4 linked regions of the Callithrix jacchus genome follow. The protein of the gene in region 1 interacts with the protein of each later gene in a biochemical or structural test. Links are inferred from orthologs where the notes say so. Each region holds a gene or a part of one and is shown in the gene's direction. Other genes may lie near its edges. The genes, in order: ACVR2A, ERBIN, BMP2 and BMP7.

Evidence for each region.
Region 2: the proteins of ACVR2A (region 1) and ERBIN interact in a test that uses a peptide from one of them, tested with the Homo sapiens proteins (2 studies listed by BioGRID and IntAct). The link is inferred for Callithrix jacchus from reciprocal best matches to the Homo sapiens genes ACVR2A and ERBIN.
Region 3: the proteins of ACVR2A (region 1) and BMP2 form a complex in vitro, tested with the Homo sapiens proteins (3 studies listed by BioGRID and IntAct, with this or other methods). The link is inferred for Callithrix jacchus from reciprocal best matches to the Homo sapiens genes ACVR2A and BMP2.
Region 4: the proteins of ACVR2A (region 1) and BMP7 are reported together in a solved structure, tested with the Homo sapiens proteins (2 studies listed by BioGRID, with this or other methods). The link is inferred for Callithrix jacchus from reciprocal best matches to the Homo sapiens genes ACVR2A and BMP7.

The regions. Positions count from the first base shown.
Region 1 is NC_133507.1:82,530,263-82,536,567, reverse strand, and holds the start of ACVR2A (activin receptor type-2A), read left to right. Parts: upstream 1-2,354; 5' UTR 2,355-2,580; intron 2,581-2,905; exon of another isoform or gene 2,906-2,938; 5' UTR 2,939-3,017; coding exon 3,018-3,072; intron 3,073-6,305. UniProt on the Homo sapiens protein: On ligand binding, forms a receptor complex consisting of two type II and two type I transmembrane serine/threonine kinases.
Region 2 is NC_133503.1:143,450,463-143,456,245, reverse strand, and holds part of ERBIN (erbin), read left to right. Parts: intron 1-1,352; coding exon 1,353-1,536; intron 1,537-4,248; coding exon 4,249-5,783. UniProt on the Homo sapiens protein: Acts as an adapter for the receptor ERBB2, in epithelia. By binding the unphosphorylated 'Tyr-1248' of receptor ERBB2, it may contribute to stabilize this unphosphorylated state.
Region 3 is NC_133506.1:14,044,819-14,051,162, forward strand, and holds the start of BMP2 (bone morphogenetic protein 2), read left to right. Parts: upstream 1-1,990; 5' UTR 1,991-3,189; intron 3,190-4,415; 5' UTR 4,416-4,422; coding exon 4,423-4,768; intron 4,769-6,344. UniProt on the Homo sapiens protein: Growth factor of the TGF-beta superfamily that plays essential roles in many developmental processes, including cardiogenesis, neurogenesis, and osteogenesis. Induces cartilage and bone formation.
Region 4 is NC_133506.1:52,767,895-52,773,677, reverse strand, and holds part of BMP7 (bone morphogenetic protein 7), read left to right. Parts: intron 1-2,885; coding exon 2,886-3,083; intron 3,084-5,783. UniProt on the Homo sapiens protein: Growth factor of the TGF-beta superfamily that plays important role in various biological processes, including embryogenesis, hematopoiesis, neurogenesis and skeletal morphogenesis.

The DNA.
Region 1 (6,305 bases):
TATTTATCTCATAATGTCCGATGCTCTGGTCGTTTAGAATTCATGCTTCCTTTTCCTTTCCTCTCTCATTTTCCTTCCCAAACCAGGTTGTACACTTTGCAAGGTGTTAGGAAGTGGCTGGATTTGTGGATTTAAAAAAGTGATTCTAGAAAATAAGGAGAAAAGAAGGACAATGGGGTTAGCCCTAGCTACCTCTTTTTAAGTTTTGAAGCTCCAGTGGGAATTAATCAAAACTCCCTGTCATTTTAGGTTACATTATTTTTGAATTTTTTAAAAAACTGAGGGGGCAAAGTAAACACATTTAGGAACAGAATAGCTAGCTACTGTTACTGGTTGTTAATACTTCTCCCCTGGGGTTATTACTATTATTTTTTGTCTTTGTTAGAAAGGAATGTTCTAGTGAAGACTGGTTGCGTGTCTTTAATACTACAGAAAGATGATTTTCATGCTCTTATTCTTATACTGGCAAATTCAGTTGGTAAGATAAAGAATATATTTTCAAGTTTCAGTTGCATTACTCACTATTCCAGTTATTCCACTTGCTCTGGTTTCACAATTAAAGAAATATTGAAATGATGGATAGATAAGACAATAGTGGGGCCTGACCCTGACAACACATTCTTTAATGAACTTCAAGTGTTTCTAGAGTAAAATATACTCTTCCATTCCAGAACCATTAGTGAAACTCTTAGTTCAACCAGAGAATGGAAGGTTTATACATATTCCTTTGCCAACTCACAAAGGTGGGAGAACTACATGAAATCAGACACCTTTAATACCGACTTGGGATTTTAACTGTTGCAAATATCAGTGAAATTCTGAGCACCACGACTTGAGAACTGGAAATCTTGGAGAGAGTTTAAAAAGCCACAATGATTATTAATAACCCTGACAAGTTGTAGAAATGGGCAGATAATTACAGGATGAACTTAATAGAAATACGGAGTAATTTAGAGGAAGTCAACTGCTATAAATATAAGTGAGAAGACTTGATTTTGTGGGAAAAGGTGGGAATCAGTAAACCACAAGTAAAACATAAATCAGCTATATAGTACAGTTGCTTTATTATTATTATTATTAAAAAAAACTTTGTAGAGTACATTAAAGGAGACTGTACTTAAGGGAAAGGCAGTTATCCTTTAGTCATTTATACAATTATTTATTAAGCACTTATCATGTGCCAGTTGGTACTTCTGGGTGCTGGAATAAAATAAGGAAAAAAAAAAAATCAAGATCTTTCTTCCCGAAGCTCACTAAAGTGTGGTAAATGACAGAGCAAGTACTTTCAATGGTCTTTAGTTTGCATTCTGCAGCCAACTGAATACAGCAAATACTAAAAGCTACTTGAGGTAGGGATCCATCCTATTTTTACCTGTTGGATCCCATTCCGTGCCTAGCACACCAGCTTGTAAGCAGTCAACATGGATTAAGGAGTAAAAGCAGGCCCTAAAAGAGCTTAAAATTTGAACATGTAAACACTTGTCTGATCATTAAATATGTCGATCGAAATTCCCAGTTTTTTTCTTCAAAGCGCAGTAAACAAGTATTTGTGCCCCTATTACGTACAAAACAGTTGTCAACACAATTCTTTGTGTGTAAAAGGAACGGTGGGAATGAATTCAAGTTGGGCATCGTGATAAATGGCGTGAATACCCTGACCGGGTGGACAGCCCTTCCTCCGTGTTTTTTTTGCTCTTCTAGTCACCAAGAGAGCACGCGTGTGCAAAAACCGCAGCGGTGGGATGCACAGCTAAATCTGGGGGCTCAGACACCAGCTCGCGGATTGCGAGCTCGCCTGGGCAGCTCGGCGGGCGCGGCGAAAATAGCTCCCACGGCCGGCTTCCACCGATTCCTCGGTCTCCGAGAGGACGACGCGTCCCCGCCAGAGGAAAGACTGGGCGCCACAGACGCCCCTCGGAGAAGCACCGGCCACTCGCCCCACCTCGGGGTCCTGTTGCTTTTGGGCTTCCCCTGACCCTTCGCGTGGGCGCTCCAGAGACGTCAGTGGGAACGCGATTTGCAAACGGGGCGCGCCCGGCCACAGCCCAAGCACAGCTCAGAGACTTTGAGGCGCCCGCGCCCCTTTGTCGCGGGATCTCTCGCCCAAGCAGGCCGGACGCCGAGGCCTCGCGGTATCAAGCCTCCGTCCGCCCCGCCTCCTCTCCCTCCACTCGGCCCCGCCCTCGCTCTCTCACCCCTCCCCCGCTCCCGCCTCGCTTCCCCGACAATCTCCTCGCGCTCCCGGCCCGGCACGCGCGCTGCGCCGGGCCGCCGCTGCAGCCGCCGCCGCCGCCGCTGCCGCCGAGCGTTCCTCCGCTGCGCGGGGCTTCCAGCTTCGGGCCGGAACCGGAAGTGTGGGGGGCGGAGCCCGGCGGAGGCCAGGAGACCGAAAACGCGGCCGAGTCCGGAGCCCGGAGCCGGAGCCGGAGCCAGAGCCTGGACCAGAACTTGGCCGCCGCCTGCACCGCCGCTGCCGCCGCTGCCGCCCGCCGCCCCTTCCCCGCACCGCAGCCGCCTTGACCGCCACCGCCGCGAGCTTGGCCGCCAATGGTCCTGAGACATTAGGTGTCCGGGTTGAAGGTCGGTCCGGACGTCGGACCCAGTCGGTTCCCAGACTGTCCGGGCGGCAGCGGACGCCGCCGCCGCCGCCGCCTCCTCGTCGCCTCAGCCTGGCGTTTTGTTTCGAGAGACCGGAGAGGCGAGCGGAGCTGACAGTGATTTTGACAGTGATTTAAACCCGCTTTTGTTGTTGTTGGCTTTTCGTTGTTTGGTTTTGTGTGTTGTGCGTGTGTGTGGCGGTTTTTCCCCCGTGGTGCATTTTATTTTTTATTGTTGTGCTCTTTTTTCTTTTTTTGTTTTTTAAACCCAGTGAACGTTTTTTTTTTTTTTTTTGGTCTGGGCTCCCGAATATGTTTTATGACGGTTGATTTTACACCAGGAGGTTTGTCTCCGAGGAAGACCCAGGGAACTGGATATCTAGCGAGAACTTCCTCCGGATTCCCCGGCGTCTCGGGAAAATGGGAGCTGCTGCAAAGTTGGCGTTTGCCGTCTTTCTTATCTCCTGTTCTTCAGGTAGGTGCAGGGAGCGCGGCGCGGCGGGGCTGCTCCTGCGGCCGCGGCGGCCGCTGCTGGGGGCCGCGGCTGGTGTCGGGTCGGAGAGTCCAGTGGAGCCTGGGGAGGTTGCCCACACCCCGCGCCCCTCGGCTGCCACCCCCCAGGTCTGATTGTGATCTGGGAACCTCCATGCATTTTTCTCCTTTTGAGTTGGGTTGGCGTGATAAGAGTGAGTGCTGTGTTGTTGTGGAAGTGAGAAAGTCATGTTTTGTGGCCATAACACTAGATGACAAGGCTGGTTGGGTTGCAATTAAGCCGCAAATACCACAAGTGGCAATTTATGCAAAGGTTGAGACCCGAAAGGAGTATTTAGTGTGGGCTCCCCTAAAACCAGGGTTGCTTTTTGTCATCTTTTAATTGGTGCTTCACCCGTGAATATCACGACATAGATCAAGTCAGTTGCTGCTTAATTTTGGCTGTGAGAAGCAGTACATCCTTTCAGTAGATTAATCTGGGTCTCCCCTCACGTTTTCTTCAACTTCAGTGTCCAGCAGTGTTAAAAATAGTTGTAGTTGTTGTTGGAGTATTAACTATAACCCACTGCAGAAGAGGTATGCCGCTTGGGGTTGGTAATGTGCTGGTGTTCAACCACCATTTGTGTGCTCTTTGGGGGCATAGATTTTGCTTACCTACGGAATACTTATTTTAAACGCTTTGTATTGAAGCGTTGTTTTCGGTTTAGAACAACCCATGTGAAATTGTTTCTGTTGAATATAATAGACTCATAAAATAGGTTTTAGCTAAAGGTTGGGGGAATAATCTGGCCATTTCATATTGGAAATTTCGATTTTGTGAGAACGTTCTGTGGTTGCAACCAGTGGTTGGAAAAACTATCTAGTCTTTTGTATTTGAAATTCTATAAATGTATACATCATTAGCTCAGAGGTGTGCAGATGTACACAACAGGAGACTTAGTTCAATAGATGAAACATTTTAAAAGTCTCATTGGATCTATTTATCGTAAAATTTAATATTCAGTTACCAGCTTGTGGCATAGAATTACTGGGGACGGGTGGGGGGGGCAAATTGACAGGTTTCATGGCCATGTCTTTATCTCGTTTGCCATAGGAAAATTAAAGGGTGGTAGTCTTCTTTGTGTACCTCTATGGGGTGTGTGTGTGTGTATGTGTGTTTGTGTCCATCTTCCCCAACCCCCTTTAAATAGAATCTTTTGTAATGTATAGAATTTTGCTGAATGGTACATTTCCTTGTGGTTAATAAATGGATAAAGTCTAGTCTTATGTCTGTAGTGGTATTGATCAGTTCCGGGTGGGCTGAATGTGTTGTGAAATGGCGATCATTGCCAGAGATTAACCAAAAGAATCATGTCTGTTTAAATGGAAGAAGGAACATGCTTAAGGCAGGCTGACAGTTCTTTTTGTGCATGGTTTGGGGAGGAAGCTAAACAATGGTGTGTCTGAAATGAATGAAGGCCTTGATAACATTAAACCTCTTGCTCTTGTGACATGATTTAACCATGTAGTTTTTATCTTTCCAGTAGTACTCTTTTTTTTTTCCTGCTTCTATATGTTGTGGCTGGTGAACTCCTCTTGTTCAAATCCCTTGTTGTGATCTCTTGCCCTTGAGGAGGAGGGGCATCATGGCCACTGACCAAGGAATTGTGGACATTATTCCCTCCAAACCCACCTGAGTCACACTAATTGGTGAAGGAGGTTATTCTTGAGCAGTCTCAAGGTATTACTTCTGGAAAAGCAGGCTGTTGCTACAGATCTTACAGCTTCCTCTGCTTGGTTTGGTAGTAAAAATAACTGAGCATTAGTTTCTTGTGGGATTATTTCCATTGGGCCAGGATTGTTTTCAGTGGGCCAGGAGGTTAACAGCTATAGTTTTGAAATAAAGTAATTTTGTTGCTATAGGGCATATAGATAGTCCACTTATATTAAATTAATATTGTGTTGTTGCATAGGCTTTTTAAGATGAACATTCCCAGTTGAACAAAAATTTGTGGTTCTGTTGAAGATAATTGAAATCTTAAAGACCCTAATCCATATTTATACATGAAGAATTTGAGTACTTAAAATGTCTGATTTTTAAAAGGCTTTTGTTATGGATCAGATGCACTCTAAAAAAGGATTATTGTGTTTCTCCAACTAATTGATTTTTCTACAAAATGTGTAATCTGGCATATTGGAAACATGAGGTAACTATTTTTATGAGAATTTAAAAAGTTCTCAGTTTGTCTATTTTCATTTCTAGATATTTTATTTCATTTTTTAATCAAAATGGGAAACAATAGTAAGAACAGTTTTGTTCCAGGTGTTTAGGAGGAATGTTTACTATTTCGTGGACTCTAATTTTTCAAATTCTATCCCATGATATGTATTCTGGAGACTGATTATGCAGACTATTCCTGTAGGATATGGCCAAGTGTATAATTTCTTCCTCTTTCTCATTCCAGGGGAAGCATTTTAAATTTTGCCCTCATCCTTGAGTGCCTTCAGATTCTCTTTGATTTTGAATTTTTTCATTCCTCTCATACCTCCTTAGATTCTGTTTCAAAACATAAATCTTAGTTTTCTTTTTATAGCATTGTGGTTAATTTGTATCTTTCCCCACAGTTTGTTAAAGTATGAGAATGACTTTAGTACTTGCCTTAGTACTTAGGTTTATCCCATTTAGAGTGATGCAGCTATTGTGGTATTTGAGTTGCATTGAAGTAAGTTGAGAATTCCTTTGGATTTTGTGGGAGCTGCAGCAGTATGGTCAATCTATTTGATGAAATAGGAAATGGAAATATGGTAATCATGTTACATTTTCTTCAGTTTAGCTAGGCAATACTGTGTATGTGTGAATGTATGTGTGGTTGGAGGGAGAGCTGGCAGTACAGATAATCTTTTGAACTTTGGCTAACAAGTGATGGATGTTAACACTTTGTTTTCTAAAAGGCAGAATCTCTTATAAATGCTGTTTGCGGTCAAATTCAAATATATACATTTGAAACATGGAGACCAGAAAAAAAATGAAACAAAGTTCTCCTGCCATTCATTTTGTATTATTTTTTTTCCTATTTGTGATCTAAGCCAGTAGTTCTTAGGCTGGGGTGATTTCCCCCTCCCTAACTCCCCAAATCCCCATCCATGGGACATTTTGAGACATTTTTGGTTGTCACAACAGGGGCGGGGTGTGCTACTGGCATCTAGTTGGGTAGAGGGCAGGAATGCTGCTAATTG
Region 2 (5,783 bases), on another chromosome or scaffold:
ACAATGAAGCTAATGAAGAAGTTTGCATCAAATGGGCTAGATAATATATTTTTCAGCACAGTACCTGATGTAGGTGCTCATTATTTTCATTCTGTCGCAAAACTTTTTTTTTTACACTCTATCCAACCTCTGACAGCGATTTTTCATTTAAGAGAATCTCAGACTCTTAGAGATAAAATGGATCTTGAAGGATATCTGTCCATTCCCTCACCCCTCCCCTCCAGCACCTGAGTATCTTTACATCATCTTCCTCAAATGTTTAGCCTTTTGTCTTTATGACATCAGTGATGCTTGTTATCAAGGTGGTCATTAGATAGCTCGGGTTCATAATACTTGTAGTAATGATACCTAGAATTGGTTGAGCACTAATTGCTTCGGTACTATGCTGAATATTTTACGTGTTATTATCTAATTGTCACAGTAGCCCCCATGATAAGGAAGAGGAAAAGGAGTGTATCTAAGAAAGAACTTAACCATCTATTTTAATGATATTTTAAAAGTTAAGAACCCAAAACCTGAATACCTTGAGATCAAAGTTACAGAGTCCCATTTGCTACTGTTAACTGTAAATACAATCCAAACTACTTTATCTGTGCTCCTAAAATCTCAGAACATCAAAGATATTTTTAATTCATATAATCTTTTATGGATATGTCTGTATACACTGTTTCCATGATTTGGCTAGAATTGAGTTAGTTAAAAACATTTTTGGCACTACTTTGAGAAAAATACTACTTTTTATACTACCTGTCTATTAAAGAATATGAACACTTATCTGTTTCTGTTCATATAATTGCTATACACACAACCACCTCACATATTGAGAGTTTACCATTCATAACAAGTCTATGAAATGTTTTTAAAACATTAAGAAATGAAAGAGCTGACCTTTGAAAATTTCTTGATTGGTGATTGTGTGTTTGTGGATTGACGGCTTATTATCAGAGTAGATGGCAAAAAATTCCTTATGTATAAAATAATTTCTTGCCCAGACAAGTTTACAAAGGTTATAATCTATGTTTTTATTATCAGTTTTTAAAATTGTAAATGGGTGAAAAGTATACTTACTGAAATTGACTGTAGAAAACAGTACATAATATCACCTTGTCAGTAACTAAATTGAATTCTTAATAACTCCAACATTGGTTACTTTTAAAAAATGATATCACCATTTAAAAATTCTTTAATCTTTGTAGTAGGACTGACTTTTCAGGGTGCCTCTGATTATCATCAATATAATTTATTACCTCGTATAGAATCAGGACAGTATAATTGCCATTTGTCATCACTGAAAAGCATTTCACAAAATTCTTGGCTAATTTATCATTGATCTTAAATTTGTTTTGTTTCAGATGATACAAAGGAAATAGATTCCTTATCCGATGAAGTTACACACAATAGCAATCAGAATAATAGCAATTGTTCTTCTCCATCTCGGATGTCTGATTCAGTTTCTCTTAATACTGATAGTAGTCAAGACACCTCACTCTGCTCTCCGGTGAAACAAACTCATATTGATATGAATTCCAAAATCAGGTATGTGAGCATCTTTTATGATTTTTCATTTGTACAGTAAGTAGAAGTGGTAAGGCAGGTAACAAATACATAAACATAAAGGATTTCATAAATAAATTTTATAGAAGTGGTTCGAGTAATATGTTTTCTTTCCCCATTTTTATTGCTGATTTTCTATTTACTTTTTATATATTTTCATTCTAAATTAGATTTTTAAATGGGATAGACTAGATTCTCAGTCTCTTGATTAAAAAGTTGAATATTTATATAATTTTTAGGTATGGCAACATAAACAGCATAGTTGAGGTAATTTAAGTTGAAAGGAGCATTTTTATAGTTAGAAATGCAGAATCATTTTGGAGGGCTGTACCTTAGAAGGTTCAAATACTCAGCCAGGCGTGGTGGCTCACGCCTATAATCCCAGCACTTTGGGAGGCCGAGGCGGGTGGATCACGAGGTCAAGAGATTGAGACCATCCTGGTCAACATGGTGAAACCCTGTCTTTACTAAAAATACTAAAATTAGCTGGGCATGGTGGTGCATGCCTGTAGTCCCAGCTACTCAGGAGGCTGAGGCAGGAGAGTTGCTTAAAACCAGGAGGCAGAGGTTGTGGGGAGCCAAGATCACGCCATTGCACTCTAGCCTGGGTAATAAGAGCGAAACTCCATCTCAAAACAAAACAAAACAAAAAAAACAACAACAAAAAAAAGAAAGTTCAAATACTCTTGACTGGTGTTGTGTATTTGACTTAGGCTTCATTTTGTAGGACACACTCACTGAGAGAGAGAGAAATGTTAATTTGTGTAGCCTGGAATTTAGCTGATGTCTAAAACATGTTTTATTGTTTAGGCCCTTGAGAAAGTTGGTTGTGTGTAATGTTGGCTATGGGTTTGAAAGAAAAAAAGAAAAGAAGAAATTTGGTTATCAGAGTAAGGCCCTGCCATTCTACCATCATGTTATCCTATCAGCTAAACTCTGCTTGTTAGAAAGATGGGAGTTGGCTGGGCTGGACGCAGTGGCTCAAACCTGTAATCCCAGCACTTCGGGAGGCTGAAACAGGAGGATGGCTTGAGCCCAGGAGTTTTAGACCAGCCTGGGCAACATGGTGAAACCCCGTCTCTACCAAAAAAAATACAAAACTTAGCCACATGTTGTGGCACATGCCTGTAGAACCAGTTACCTGGGAGGCTGAGGTGGGATGTGGAAGTTGTCGTGAGCCCTGATCATACCACCACACTCCAGCCTGGGTGATAGAATTAGACCTTGTTTCAAAAAAAAAAAAAAAATTGGGGTTGGCTTGATGTGGTGGAACACGTGTAATCCTAGCACTTTGGGAGGCTAAGGTGGGTAGACTGCTTGAGTTCAGGACTTCAAGACCAGCTTAAGCAAATGGTGAAACTATGAATGTATAAAAAAATTAACCAGGTATGTTGGCATGTGCCTGTAGTCCCAGCTACTCAGGAAGCTGAGGTGGGAGGATAATTTGGGCCCGGGATGTTTAGGCTGCAGCAAGCCATGATCAGGCCACTGCACTCCAGCCTGGGTGACAGAATGAGATCCTGTCTCAAAAAAAGAAAGACTGGCGTTACTACTAAACCAAAAGTTTGGTGTATGGAAAATTTTAACAATTATTTATAGTTGTTCTTAAATTTCAGACATATTTAAGTAAAATTTGTTTATTAATGTGTGTTTTTGGAAAAGGGAGATGAATTTTATGCCTGAAAATGAGTTAAGATGTTGTATAGTTATAATCACAGTCATTTTTTTTCTATTCTCTGAATTTGAGGCTATGAGCTCCTGTTTAAAATACTAATTTTTATAACCTCCTAGATGTTATAATATTAATTTGTTGAATAATAAAATTCTATTTATTTATTGTTGGGAAAGTGGTATGGTATTTTCTAAATTCTGCTTTTAATATAATAGAGCCTAAGCAAGAAGTACAGCAACACCTTTTTGTGCTGTATTTCTAGTAATGAAAGTTATCTTTTTTGTAATGGGAAAACCAGTATTAGGGAATTTTTGTGGAAACGTAACTTGAATATGTATACAAGAGGACACAAATATGTTCAATACCACCAGGTAAAAATAAAGTATTTTCTGTAATTTTGGAATGACATATTTAAAAGTATTTGCGAAATACAGCTAGCTACTTAGAAGAGTGATTAGACTTCATTTATCTTTTATGCCTTTTACATATTTTATGTAAAACTTTGGACAATTATTCATTTCTTTGATTTGTACAATTTTCTTACCTATATATTTGAATGTGATAACTATAGTTAACTATGGTTAATTTGGTTAATAATGTAAAGCTTCAAAATTAACTGTAAAATTGTCCTATGCTCATGACTCCTCTATTCATGTTACTAGTTTTCTATTCATATATCTGCCCTCCATCAGGCATTTCGTTTTTTGCACATTCATGAAAAGATGTAGCAAAGATTAATAATTCCACTTTTGTTCATAGTTAAGTCCTTTAAATTATTTTGAGACAGACTGAGTGTATTGATGAAAATTAATTTGGGTATTGTCTATGAATTTTAATTGTATTATTTGTCTCCAACTGAATATAAAGCTATATTAACTATTAAGCTAATATTTTGTAATTATATGATAATAAATGCCTTTTATCAACTTGTCTACCTATACAGTTTAACTATTTATTAATATTCCCTGTTACTAAGAAAACTTGGCTTTATTATGTTTTTCATAAAATTATCTTTATTTTAGGCAAGAAGATGAAAATTTTAACAGCCTTTTACAAAATGGAGATATTTTAAACAATTCAACAGAGGAAAAGTTCAAAGTTCATGATAAAAAAGATTTTAACTTACCTGAATATGATTTGAATATTGAAGAGCAATTAGTTCTAATTGAGAAAAGTGTTGATTCAACACCCACAGCTGATGACACTCACAAATTAGATCACATCAATATGAATCTTAATAAGCTTATAACTAATGATACATTTCAACCAGATATCATGGAAAGATCAAAAACACAGGATATCACGCTTGGAACAGACTTTTTAAGCATTAATTCTAAAGAGGAAACTCAGCACTTGGAAAATGGAAATAGGTATCCTAATCTAGAATCCGTAAATAAGGTAAATGGACACTCTGAGGAAACGTCACAGTCTCCTAATAGAACTGAACCACATGACACTGATTGTTCTGTTGACTTAGGTATTTCCAAAAGCACTGAAGATCTCTCCCCTCAGAAAAGTGGTCCAGCTGGATCTGTTGTGAAATCTCATAGCATAACTAATATGGAAATTGGAGAGCTAAAAATCTATGACATTCATAGTGATAATGGACCTCAGCAGCCAAATACAGCAGTTAAAATGACATCTGCTGTCGATGGAAAAAATATAGTCAGGAGCAAGTCTGCCACATTGTTGTGTGATCAGCCATTGCAGGTATTTATCGGTTCTTCGTCATCTTCTGATTTAATATCAGGAACAAAAGCAATTTTCAAGTTTGATTCAAATCATAATCCCGAAGAGCCAAATACAATAAGAGGCCCCACAATTGGCCCACAATCTACACCTCAATTATATGGTCCTCCACAGTATAATATCCAATATAGTAGCAGTGCTGCAGTCAAAGACACTTTGTGGCACTCCAAACAAAATCCCCAGATAGATCATGCCAGTTTTGCGTCTCAGCGCCTTCCTAGATCAGAGAGTACAGAAAATCAAAGTTATGTTAAACATTCTGCCAATATGAATTTCTCTAATCATAACAATGTGCGAGCTAATACTGCATACCATTTACATCAGAGACTTGGCTCAGCCAGACATGGGGAAATGTGGGCCATCTCACCAAATGACCGACTTATTCCTGCAGTAACTCGAAGTACAATTCAGCGACAAAGTAGTGTGTCCTCCACAGCCTCTGTAAATCTTGGTGATCCAGGTCCTACAAGGCGGGCCCAGATTCCTGAAGGAGATTATTTATCATACAGAGAGTTCCACTCAGTGGGAAGAACTCCTCCAGTGATGCCAGGATCACAGAGACCTCTTTCTGCACGAACATACAGCATTGATGGTCCGAATGCATCAAGGCCTCAGAGTGCTCGACCCTCTGTTAATGAAATACCAGAGAGAACTATGTCAGTTAGTGATTTCAATTATTCACGGACTAGTCCTTCAAAAAGACCAAATGCAAGGGTTGGTTCTGAGCATTCTTTATTAGATCCTCCAGGAAAAAGTAAAGTTCCTCATGATTGGAGAGAACAGGTACTTCGACATATTGAAGCCAAAA
Region 3 (6,344 bases), on another chromosome or scaffold:
TGGAAAATGGGTAGATACAGTCAGCCTGTACTTCGCATCCCAAATACAATCTTTGGAGATTATTTATTTATTTATGAACTTCTTTCTTTCAAGCGTTCGAATTCATTTTCACCACAAGAGGGCAGCCATCTCTTAAAAAAAAAAAAAAAAAAAATGAAGCCTTGGTTTTGAGAGAAATAGGGCCAAAATTTAGGTAAGTTGTGCTTGGGACAGGCATTCAGTAGTTCCTCAGAAGTCACACACCCTACATAAAAGAGGTTCTGCAATGGGCAACACCACCATGAAACAGTGCTCGGAATTACCCATTTTCCCTTAGATTCTAAACTGACAAGGTTTCCACTTACCAAGTTACGAAGTTCTAAAGCTGCAAGACATCCTTGATGTCATCACAGGACATTTATTTTTTACTTTTTCTCCGGGGACATTCAATAGTTATCAACTTTTCCTCCTCTTTAAAAGCTACCTATTGATTGAAGTCTCATAGAGGTTTGGTTTGGTTTTTGAAATCTAAGTAATGACAGAAACAACAGTTAACTTCTCAATTAAACTTGATAGGAAAAAAAGTAGTTTCAGAAGCCCAATAAATACTTTTTAAACTGTGTCTATATGTAGAATATGTTTTATTGGCTACTTGTTTGCTGTCCAGTGACTTAGAGTGACAGTCAATTTCTATAGCACCTTCCCCGTCCCCCCCAATCCCCCCCCGGGCGCAAGAAATAAAGTAGCATGTTCCTGAATAACTCCCCCCACCTCTCTTTTATTTTCCTGGTAGGCAGGCTTCCTCCAAAATACCTTATTTGACCTTTATACCTTTAGAAACAGCAAGTGCCTAATTCGCCTCTGTGGGTTGCTAATCCGATTTACGTGAGCGGAACCTAGAATTATTTTAGTTCCCCCACCGAAAAAATAATACACATGGATAATAGTTTTATTACCAGCTCCCGATTCTGACTTTTTTCTCTGTGTTTTGCAAGCCCAATAGCTCTGGGAAAGCAGAACCTGGCCTTTACCAAAAATTTCTGCCCTTGGTTTTGGGGATCATTTGGGCAACCCCGAGGTGCTGTGCAAGGGGGCTCCTGGAATCCTGGGAAGGGTAGAAACCCTTAGCCCCAGACTCACGGTGCAGCAGCTCTGAGAATATTTCAGCTGAGGAGTGAGTTGAGTGAATATTCAGCTGAGGAGTGATTTGGCCACGTGTCACAGCTCTACTTCTTGGGGGCCTGGTGGAAGAGAGTGGAGTAGAAGGTCCTAAGGTCCCAGACTGGAATTGTCCTGTATGCTTGGTTCACGCTATGCATTGTTTTACCTTCCTCTGAGCTGCTAATCGCCTGCCTCTGAGGCGCAAAGATACAAGGATATATTTATATAAACATACATTTACATGTACATGGATATGAAAATAAATGCATACACATATTTATGTAAATGGAAATTTGTACACATGCATTTACATATGTAAATACATACATCTCTATGTATTAATGTTTAAAAGTACTCAATTTCCAGCCTCCTGTTTCTTTTAATTTTCCTCCTGTTCCAGGGAAACAGAAGTGTGGATCCCACGTCTATGCTATGCCAAAATGCGCTGCAATTGAGGTGTCCTGTTTTACTTTTTGAAATCGTGTATTACCGAAAAACTTCAAACTGAAAGTTGAATAACGGGCCCAGAGGGGAAATAGAGGCCAGACCCTGACCCTGCGTTTGTCCTGGATTTCGCCTTCAGAGTCCCCCGAGGGTCCGGCGCGCCAGCTGATCTCTCCTTTGAGGGCAGGGGGTGGAGGCGCGAGCGCCCGCCTAGGCGGCCGCACGCCCCCGCCCTCTGCCCCACCCCGCCGCGGCTGCCCGGGCGCGCCGTCCACACCCCTGCGCGCAGCTCCCGCCCGCTCGGGGATCCCCGGCCCGCGCCGCCGAGGGGGAGGTGTTCGGCGGAGGCCGGGAGGGAGCCTGCTGGCGGCGTCCCCTTTAAAAGCCGCGAGCGCCGCGCCACAGCGCCGCCGCCGCCGTCGCCGCCGGAGTCCTCGCCCTGCCGCGCTGCGCCCGGCTCGCACTGCGCTAGTCGCTCCGCTTCCCACACCCCGCTGGGGACTGGCAGCCGCCGCTGCACGTCGACCGCCACAGCGTCCGCCAGCGACCCTAACGCTCTCGGGGCCAGCGCCGCGCAGATCACCCGGGGGGCGCGAGGCACCCGCGAGTCGCAGACCCCGCGCGGGCTTGAGCACCCGGCCGAGCGCGCCACAGCGCCGTGGCCTCGGCTGCCCGGGCTGCGCCAGAGCCGCGGACGGGCGCTCAGGGCGCCGGGGACTCTGGAGCCGAACCCGAGCGCCGCGATGCGGAGCACCTCCTGCCGGAGATCGGGGGCCTGGGACGCGCCGGCCGAGGTGTGATCGGACCCCAGGCTAGCCACAAAGGGCTCTTGGCCCCCAGGGCTGGGAGAACGAGGGGAGAGCACAGTCACCCACCTCGGCGGCCCGGGACTCGGCTAGACTCGCCGAAGAATGAGCCCGAGGACGACGGGGCGCCTGAGCCTCGGTGCTTTCGACTGGCGAGCGCGAATGGGGGTGCATTGGAGTAAGGCAGAGTGATGCTGGGGGGCAACTCGCCTGGCACCGAGATCGCCGCCGTGCCCTTCCCCGGACCCGGCGTCGCCCAGGATGGCTGCTCCGAGCCATGGGCCGCAGCGGAGCTAGCGCGGAGCGCCCGACCCTCGCCCCCGGAGTCCCGGAGCCGGCCCGCGCGGGGCCACGCGTCCCACGGGCGCTGGTTCCTAAGGAGGACGACTGCACCAGCTTCTCCTTTCTAGCTTTCCTTCCCTTCCCTGCCCCGCACTCCTCCCCCTGCTCGCTGTTGTTGTGTGTCAGCACTTGGCTGGGGAGTTCTTGAACTTGCAGGGAGAATAACTTGCGCTCCCCACTTTGCGCCGGTGCCTTTGCCCCAGCGGATCCTGCCTCGCCACCGCCACCTCCGAGCCCCACCGCCCCTCCACTCCTCCGCCTTGCCGGACCCTGGGACGCTGTTCCCAGCGTGAAAAGAGAGACTGCGCGGCCGGCATCCGGGAGAAGGAGGAGGCAAAGAAAAGGAACGGACATTCGGTCCTTGCGCCAGCTCCTTCGACCAGAGTTTTTCCATGTGGACGCTCTTTCAATGGACGTGTCCCCGCGTGCTTCTTAGACGGACTGCGGTCTCCTAAAGGTAGAGGACGCTAGCCAGGGGCCGGGGTGGGGGTGGGTGGGAGGGGGATCTGGGCAGTCACTGCGGCAGAGCCCTTCCTTATGTCCAGGCCAGAAGTAAACAGACCCCTCTCCAGGTCCACGTGCACCGGAGCCCTGTGGGGGTGCCCCCTTCAAGCTGCCCCGGGAGACCATCAGCCTCACCCTCCCAGCCCGCACTCTTCCACCCCTCTTCTTTCCCCTCTCCCCCGAATACTTGTGAAGCTGTTAACACTTAAATGAATTTTTTTTAAGAGTCAAGGGTCAAGGAAATCCCTTTGAGAGGGTAGCCCCTGGCTTTCACCCGTTAGCTGAGAACCTGTCCACCCTGCCGTGGTGATCTCCCTTCTTCAAGTGTGGCTGAGAGACTTGGTTTCTTTACACAGAGCCATGTCCCATTTAGGAAAGTACTAGGAGTTGGGATTCTCCCTACTCGTTTCCAGAAATGCGAGCAGTCGGTACTGAAGGATCGCTTGGTACTGTGTTTTTAACAGCTGACACGTGCATTAATAGATATTCGCCATTTACGTAATCCCAGGAAGATACATGTGTGTCTTACCTGTACTATGGGGATGCGGGATTGAGTGGCCTCTCCAGACACCCCTGAGGGTAGGGACCTGGGCCACAAGTTTTAAGTGGCTTTGGAAGTTGTGGCCTTGAGCTTACAGGGTCTGGAAGTTATAGGCTGTGTGTGTGTGTGTGTGTGTGAGTGTGTGTGTGTGTGTGTGTGTGTGTATGAGGAAGTTCTATACAGCGCCTCTAAGGAAATCACATGCACCATTTGCATGTGTTTATATGCCAGAGAGCGCTGAGCACTATGCATTTGGGTTTGTATAGGGGACGCAGGGTGTCAGACCAAGCGGTGGTTCTCCCAGGTTCCCTGCACTGACTGTCAGCGCTGTGTCACAACAAAAAGGTGACCATCATTGCAGCTGGTTTGGTTGGGAGGGGAGGGCAAACCCCAGATCTGATGTCAGACGAGTTAAGAGTTGGATGGGAGCGAGAACTCATCTGGTCCTGGAACTTGGGACCTTTCATTATCCCAAACATTTGAGCCTTGGTCGGTCTTACGTACACTCGCGAGTGTGCCAAGCCAGGAGGGCACCCTGGAGGAGTCAAGTTTGCCAAACGGGAGCCGGGGCCGCGGGGGCGCGAGGGGGGAGGACTGGGCGGGGAACTCGGGGTGACTCACGTCGGTCCTGTCTGCAGGTCGACCATGGTGGCCGGGACCCGCTGTCTTCTAGCGTTGCTGCTTCCCCAGGTCCTCCTGGGCGGCGCGGCCGGCCTCGTTCCGGAGCTGGGCCGCAGGAAGTTCGCGGCGTCGTCGTCGGGCCGCCCCTCGTCCCAGCCCTCCGACGAGGTCCTGAGCGAGTTCGAATTGCGGCTGCTCAGCATGTTCGGCCTGAAGCAGAGACCCACCCCCAGCAGGGACGCCGTGGTGCCCCCCTACATGCTAGAGCTGTATCGCAGGCACTCGGGTCAGCCGGGCGCACCCGCCCCAGACCACCGGCTGGAGAGGGCAGCCAGCCGAGCCAACACTGTGCGAAGCTTCCACCATGAAGGTGAGGCGCGGAGCAGGGCGTGGGGGCGGGGAGTTACCCTGCGAAGCCCTCCACCCAGGGCAGACTGCAGCCATCCCTGCAGAGGCAGCTTGGCCAGGGCACCGGGGAACGTTTCCACTCTGGCTTCTGTACCATCGTTTCTGAACCTGATTTTAACTCATTGTAACTCATCGCTTGTGTGGTGGGGGAGCCAGGGATTCCCCTTGAGTAACTCCGCCACCCTCTTCCCTGGCTTGCGGCCAGAAGAGTTCCTCCTCCCAGGAACTGGAGAGAAATCAAGTGATGGGGAAGATGAGGGCAAAAGGCATGCCCCTAGTCAGCTAAACGTGCAAGAATTCCACAGAGAGAAAAGGAGAAAAAGGGAGGCAGATTGACATTTCTTTAAGTCTGTTTGGAAGCTTTTGCTCTATAAATCTGCTGCTTAAGCCAGGGTTTCAGGCTAGACAGAGCCAAGGACAGAGTTTGCAGAGATAGTATTGAAAAATCAAAGCCCAAAGTCTTTCTAATTTATAGTTGATCTGGGCCTGGTTTGGAAGATTTTGAATCCCGATCTAATCCCCGTGGGAGATCAATTCTACAATCAATCTTATTGTTTCCACAATGGCTTTCTTGTCCTGTGCTTAAATCTGAGATAGGCCCTGAGTAGAGACAAGGCAAGCCTTCAGATAAAAGCATTTGTAGCAGCTGCCTGTTTTTTTTTTAATGTGCACTGAAATGTGGATTTTTTTTTTCTTTTATGATACTACATGTGGTTTTTCTAAGGTGGGATATATCTGCTTGTTTCATCAGAAGGGCATTTTGTCGAGTGGGAATGTCTTACAGCGGCTATTGAGAGCCTCTGTACCTAAGTTCTTAGAGCAATTAGTCAAAAATATGTTCCACTCCAATTCTTTTTCTACACTTTTAGATGCTTCTTTGGCTTAATACATTTAAAATAGAGCATGGGTTTCTTCAAATCCCAGAAAAGAGTACAAAGTTGTACATCACAGAGCAATGAAGGATATTTGGGGAGTTGGGAGTGAAGCTCTCTTTCTTGCCTTTCCCTGCTTAGGTGGTAAGTTTCAGGTGGGAAATCTACACCGATAATAGACTAATCAGAAATGGCACAGCCAGATGTTTTCTCCCAGTGTGAAGAATGACTTATGCTTGTGAGAACATTTGTTGGTAATGGAAATAAGTCCCAAAGGCAGGCCACATAGCAGAAGATACATTATCATTGAGGCAGCTCTACATCATGGCGGGGATACTGAATTGATCATCAGTTCATTTTCAAGCACATTTCTGCTAGCTAGAAATCAGATTTGAAAGGCGGTAAGAACTCACTCCGCTCTTTCAGAATTCATCCAGTGAAAGCAGAAGTCATCTGTTGTCATGTGTAAAATTTGTGTGTGTGTGGGGGGTGTGTATTCTGCCCTCTTAGCCCTGAAATTATTATAGATCCAGCTAATCATTCCCAGTAAATGCTGATTAGAATAGTTTTGTTTGTTTGTTGTTTGAGTATAGAAATATAGTCAGAACAGCTGTTTTAGACACCTCTTGTGGAAATTTAGCATGGAAGTTCTTAACTTTATTTTTA
Region 4 (5,783 bases), on another chromosome or scaffold:
TGGAACAGCATCAGGTTTTCAGGCCAGGCATTTTTATTTTGCCCTAAAAGCCTTCCAGGAGGGAAACACAGTTCCTAGGGGCTCCGTTTTAATGGTTTCTTTTATAGAACCATTCAAATTATAGATGGGTGAACTCAGGGAAACCCCGCTCAAGAATGCAGGAAAGCTGAACGTTAAAGGGGGTTAAGGTAAAACAGTGGTGGGTGGGGGGACATTTGTTCTTTTAAATATTAGTTGTTAAAAAACCAAAGTGAACCCTGGTGCCAGTCTGGTCCTGGGAGGCTGGATTTCTTGACTTCTGGCCCGTCTGGGGGGCTCCAGGTGAGGTTAATTCCAGATGCGAATGGGCCCGTCGCTTTTGCTGGCCTCCAACCCCCCCACCTAACCTGGGGTCACCGTATCTGCAGAGGCTTGGCCTCCTGACTCTCAGGCATCCTCATCTGGGTTCAGATTCTGCTTTGTTGCTTCCAAGCTACTTATCCCTGAGCAGTTATTCGGCCTTTCTGAGCTGGTGCTGTCGTGAGTAAAACGGCCTTTGTTTCCACTGGATGCTTTTTCTTTTTGGCTTTGAAATACTCATCACCCCAGACATGGCATTACATATATATTTGCCAATGACCTCATCGTTGTCAATGCTAATGGATAGATGGCGTGTCCTTAGGTCCATCTGCAGAGCACAGGATGCAGAGTTCGCTTCCTCTACTTTCCTCCCCTGGTTTCCGAGACCCCATACTCTGTTGGTGTCTCCATTTCTCCTGCCCAGGCTTCTTCTGGATCCTTCCTTACTGGGTACTCCTGCACAGTCTCCGTGGCATTCCTCTGACCCTCAGTGGAAGACAGAGGCCACCTAGGCTCAGGCTTCACACCGCTCGTCTGGCTGCATGTTTTCGCCTGGCAAGCTCATCCAGTCCTGGCTTTAAACCCCATCTCCAAGCTGGGGACGCCCAAGCTTACATCACTATCTAGACCACTGCCCCGAGCCAGCATTTATTGAGCATTTAGGGTATGCAAAGCTCTGCCCTGAGCCCTAGCTGAGCATTAAGTGACAGAGGCAGGGTTTTGAACCCAGGATGTCTGGCCCGGGCCCCACTCCCTCCCTCACTAGCCCAGAGCTCTTCTTTTCCAGTTGATCCATTGATCAAGCCTAGGCCAGATCTCTGCAGCCCACCTGACAGCTTCCTTTTGGTGTCAAGTAGGGATTTCAGACAATATCTACTAAAGCAAACTGCATTTTGTCTTCCACCCTCTATTTCTCAGCTTATGCTCCATTGCCTCTGTTTCCCTACGTTGGTAGACAGCCCCTCCCTTCTTCTGGGGCCTTGGGCCAAAAGCATGCCAGTCTCATAAGAGTCCCCTTTTTCTCACACCTTTTATAATCCCTCCCAAAATTCAGTCCCAAATCTCCCCTTTCCTAGTTTGGAGGTTGTGTGCTGGTTATTTGAAATGTCACCTTTGGGGAAAACTGGATGAAGGGCACTTGGGACCTCCCTGTACATCGTCTTTCAATGAACTGTGAATCTATAATCTTTTCACAACAAAAAGTTAAAACCAAAATAAATTCTAAAGATGGATTTTAAAAGTGAACTCTTGAGGATCTAGCCATTTCTCAACAGCCTCCCTCCCCACCATCCTGGGTCCAGTCTCACGCCATCTCCCATCTGGACAATGCTGTTGTCTCCCTTTCAGGTTGACTCCTGCAGTCGGCTCTCCAGGGATAGGCTGAGTGGCCTTATAAAAACCACTGTAAGTCCCACCCTCATGGTTCTCACTTCTTGCAGAGTGCCTCAGTGTCCTGACCAGGGCCCTGGATGTGAAGTTCCACCCACTGGGTGGCCTGAAACACAACGCTTTATTCTCTTACAGTCTGGAGGCGAGTGGTCCAAAGTCGAGGCCCACAGGGCTGTCCCCTTACAAAGGCTCTAGGGAGGAGTCGCTCCTTGCCTCTTCCAGCTTCAGGGGCTCCTGGCAATCTTTGGCATTTCACAGCCTCTGTCTTCCTAGGGCTGTCTGCGTCTGTTTCTTTATGTGGCCTTCTTATGAGTCAGCAGATTAAGGCTCATTTTAATCTAGTATGAGCTTAACTGACAACAGCACATCTGCAAAGACCCTGCTTCTAAATGAGTTCACATCCTGAGGTTCTGTGTGGGTATGAATTTTAGGGGACAGCAGCAACGTGGGACAGTGGGCTGAGGTGGTGCTCGTGTTGCTCACAGGACCTGACCTGACCCACGCCCCTCCTGCCCCTCCCAGTTGTTCCTGCTACCCGCCCCTGCTCCTTGAGCACACCCTCCCCTCTCCTGCCTCTGGGCATTCACCTCTGCAGTTCCCTCTGCCTGAAATACACTCTTCCCAGACATCCAATGGGCCCCCTCGCTCACTGTTACCCAAATCTCTGCTCAGGTGGCCCCCGTAGTCATTAGAGCTGCTTGCAGCTGCTCCACCTTCCCTGGCACAGAGCAAGATTGCCCCCCAACTCCCTGAAGTTAGGCAGATACCATGACCTGCTCTGGCCAATGAAATGCGAGTGACACTTACGGGGTTCACTAACTTGCCACCTTCCGCAGGCATCATCCTGGCTCCCCACCCCTAATATTCCCCTCCCTGCCTTCCCCACTAGCATGGAAACCCAGAGAACAGGACGTTTTCTTGGCTGTGTTTGCAGTTGTGGTCCAAGTTTCTTAAACAGCACATGGCCTAGAGTGAGTACTCAATAAATACTGGCAGGATGGAGGAATAAGGAGTTCACGAATGAACCGGAGGCACGGTGTCTTGGCAGCCCCGTCCTGCTCTCCGCCCTCCCGTGACCACTCTCCCCTGTAACCGCTCTCCCTGTAACCGCTCTCCCCGTAACCATTCTTCCGTGTACTTGGCTGCTTCCTGTCCAGGGCAGAGCATCAACCCCAAGTTGGCCGGCCTGATCGGGCGGCATGGGCCGCAGAACAAGCAGCCCTTCATGGTGGCTTTCTTCAAGGCCACAGAGGTCCACTTCCGCAGCATCCGGTCCACAGGGAGCAAACAGCGCAGCCAGAACCGATCCAAGACGCCCAAGAACCAGGAAGCCCTGCGGATGACCAACGTGGCAGGTACACCCAGGTGGGAGGGATCACAGATGCCCCACCCCACCCCCCAGGAACCCTGAAGGGCCCCAGCGGGACCAGGCAGGGGAGCAACTCAAAATCCATTCAGCTGCTCAGCAGATGGCTGTGGAACAAATAGCAGGAGGAAAACCCCCAAGTCCCTCCCTACACAGAGCATCTTAATTCTGTAAAAGTCATAAATTAGCTTAGAAATGCTAGTAGCAAAACATTTAACGCAGCACCAAGCATGTAGATATTTAAATAGACAGAATAATGGCTGAACTTACAGCTACACAGAGATGAAGGAAGACTCTGAAGGAGGGAGAGGAAGAAATGGGGAAGTGGAAGAGTTTGCTGTATCTTTATTTCATAAAGTGAAAATGTTTTAAATTCATGGCAAATTTTAATACTTGATAAATATAGATGGTAGGTGTTTGTTTTGATTTTGTTTTTGAGACAGAGTCTCGCTCTGTCACCCAGGCTGGAGTGCAGTGACGCGATCTCAGCTCACTGAAACATCTGCTTCCTAGGTTCAAGCAATTCTCCAGTCTCAACCTCCTGAGTAGCTGGGACTACAGGTGCGCACCACTGCATCCAGCTAATTTTTGTATTTTTAGTTGAGAAGGGGGTTTCACCATATTGGCCAGGCTGGTCTCGAACTCCTGACCTCAAGTGATCCACCTGCCTCGGCCTCCCAAAAATGCTGGGATTACAGGCATGAGGCACTGCTCCTGGGCAGGTGGTAGGTTTTAAAAAATATATATGATTTGGGATACTTTTCAATTCGTTTGAAATGTTTCTCTACTATATGTTTTTTTAAAAAATTAAAGATAACATTTTCGTTGCAAGCAATTCAAGTCTTAACAGTAAACATAAGTAAAGCGAACGCACTGTACAAAGGAGACTTCAGCCCCTCTAGAGCAGACCTCTTTCAGCCCGTCAGGTTGTGTGGTTCTTGAGGTTCTGGGGTAGATGACCTCCCACTTCACAGAGGGGAAAACTGAGGCTCCAAGAGGGTACGTCGTTTGTCTAAGGACACAGTGTAGGTAAGTGGCAGCCCTGGGATTGGGTCCCTGGGGTCTGGATGAACCCTTGCCCCAGGTACTCTTCCCTGTTGGGCTTTGCTGGGGCCATCTGCCTGGCCAGGATGAGCTTTGGTGTCCTCAGCAACTCCATCAAGTGCTTTCTGACAATTCTCCAGGCGTTTGTGGAGCCCCCACATGGGCCTGGCTTTGTCCCAGGCACTGGGGCTGTGGCTGTGATGAATCCTGTTCCGCATAAGCTGATTGGGGAACTGATATTGACAGCTTCTTGTGACCTGGGGCTGCTGGAATCTCAAGAAGGTGTGTTCTGGTTCTGGGCTTTGCGGGTGGGCTGACCTGGAACAGCCCTGCTGGCACTGTGGGCGTGTGTGGACAGCCCTCCCACACACCTTGCCCAGCTTATACCCCCTGCACATGCAGTGCCAGGTCTGCCAGAAGATGCAACTGGACTCCTCCCAGACTAAAACCAAAGTGTCGAGTCAATGAACCTGACAACAAACCATTTTCCAGTGGGCTGGATGAGTGACACCCCCCAGATCCAAGGAGCCAAGTTTGCTCCCATCCCCAATCCCATCCCACTGGACAGGGAAGGTGCTGCCCAGAGGTGCCATTTCTCTGGCTCCTCGGGAAGCCAGTTGCAATGAGCAGGGCAACAGCCTCTCCAAGATGCCAGTGTCTTAATTCCTGGAACCTGTGAATATGTCACCCTCCAAGGCAAAGGGGAGTTAAGGCTGCCCACGGAATCACAGGTGCTAATCAGCTGACCTTCCAATATGTGGGCTCTGTGTAGCAGGCGGTCCCATCAGTCCCTACAGGAGAGAGCCTTTGCGAGCTGTGGTCGGACCCATGTGAGCACAGAGGACAGGGAGGTAGAGATGAGCGGGGCTGCCAGCCCTGGGAAGCTGCACAAGGCAAAGATGGGATCCTGCCCTAGAGCCCCAGAAGGAGCCTGTCCTGCCTATACTCGCACTTACCTGCTGAGACGTGTTGGACTTCAGAGCCACAGAGCTATAATCCGGTTGTCTTGTTTTGAGCCACAGTGTGTGGTAATTTGTCAAAGCAGTGATAGGAAAGAATACATCTTTGTCGGCAAAGTGACTTTCTTTTCCTTTTTTTTTTAATTTGGAGACAGGGTCTCACTCTGTTGCCCAGGCTGGAGTACAGTGGTGTGAACATGGCTTACTGCAGCCTTGACCTCCTGGGCTCAAGCTGTCCTCCCACCTGAGCCTCCCAGGTAGCTGGGACTATAGATGCACGGCCACCACACCTGGCTATTTTTTGTAGAGACAGGGTCTCCCTGTATTGCCTAGGCTGGTCTCAAACTCTTGGGCTCAAGCTATCCTCCCGCCTTGGCCTCCCAAAGTGCTGAGATTACGGGCATGAGTTACTTCTCCTGGCCTCCTCAGAGTGCTTCTCTCACCCTGCTAAGGAGCTGGGCCACCACCGTCTGGGGCCGGCTCAGGAGTTGTATCTGGGTCCAGGTTGATCACAGAAAAAGGTTGATAGAGGTGCAAACTGCTGGCTACATGGGGAGCTCTGAGCTGCTTTCAGCTCTGGGGCCTGTGCTTGGACTCAGGAAGCATTTGAGGGGAGCAGGGGGCTCCTGAGAAATGTCCTGGTGAGGGATCAGCAGCAGCCCCACTCCCAAATTAACCCTCTGGTA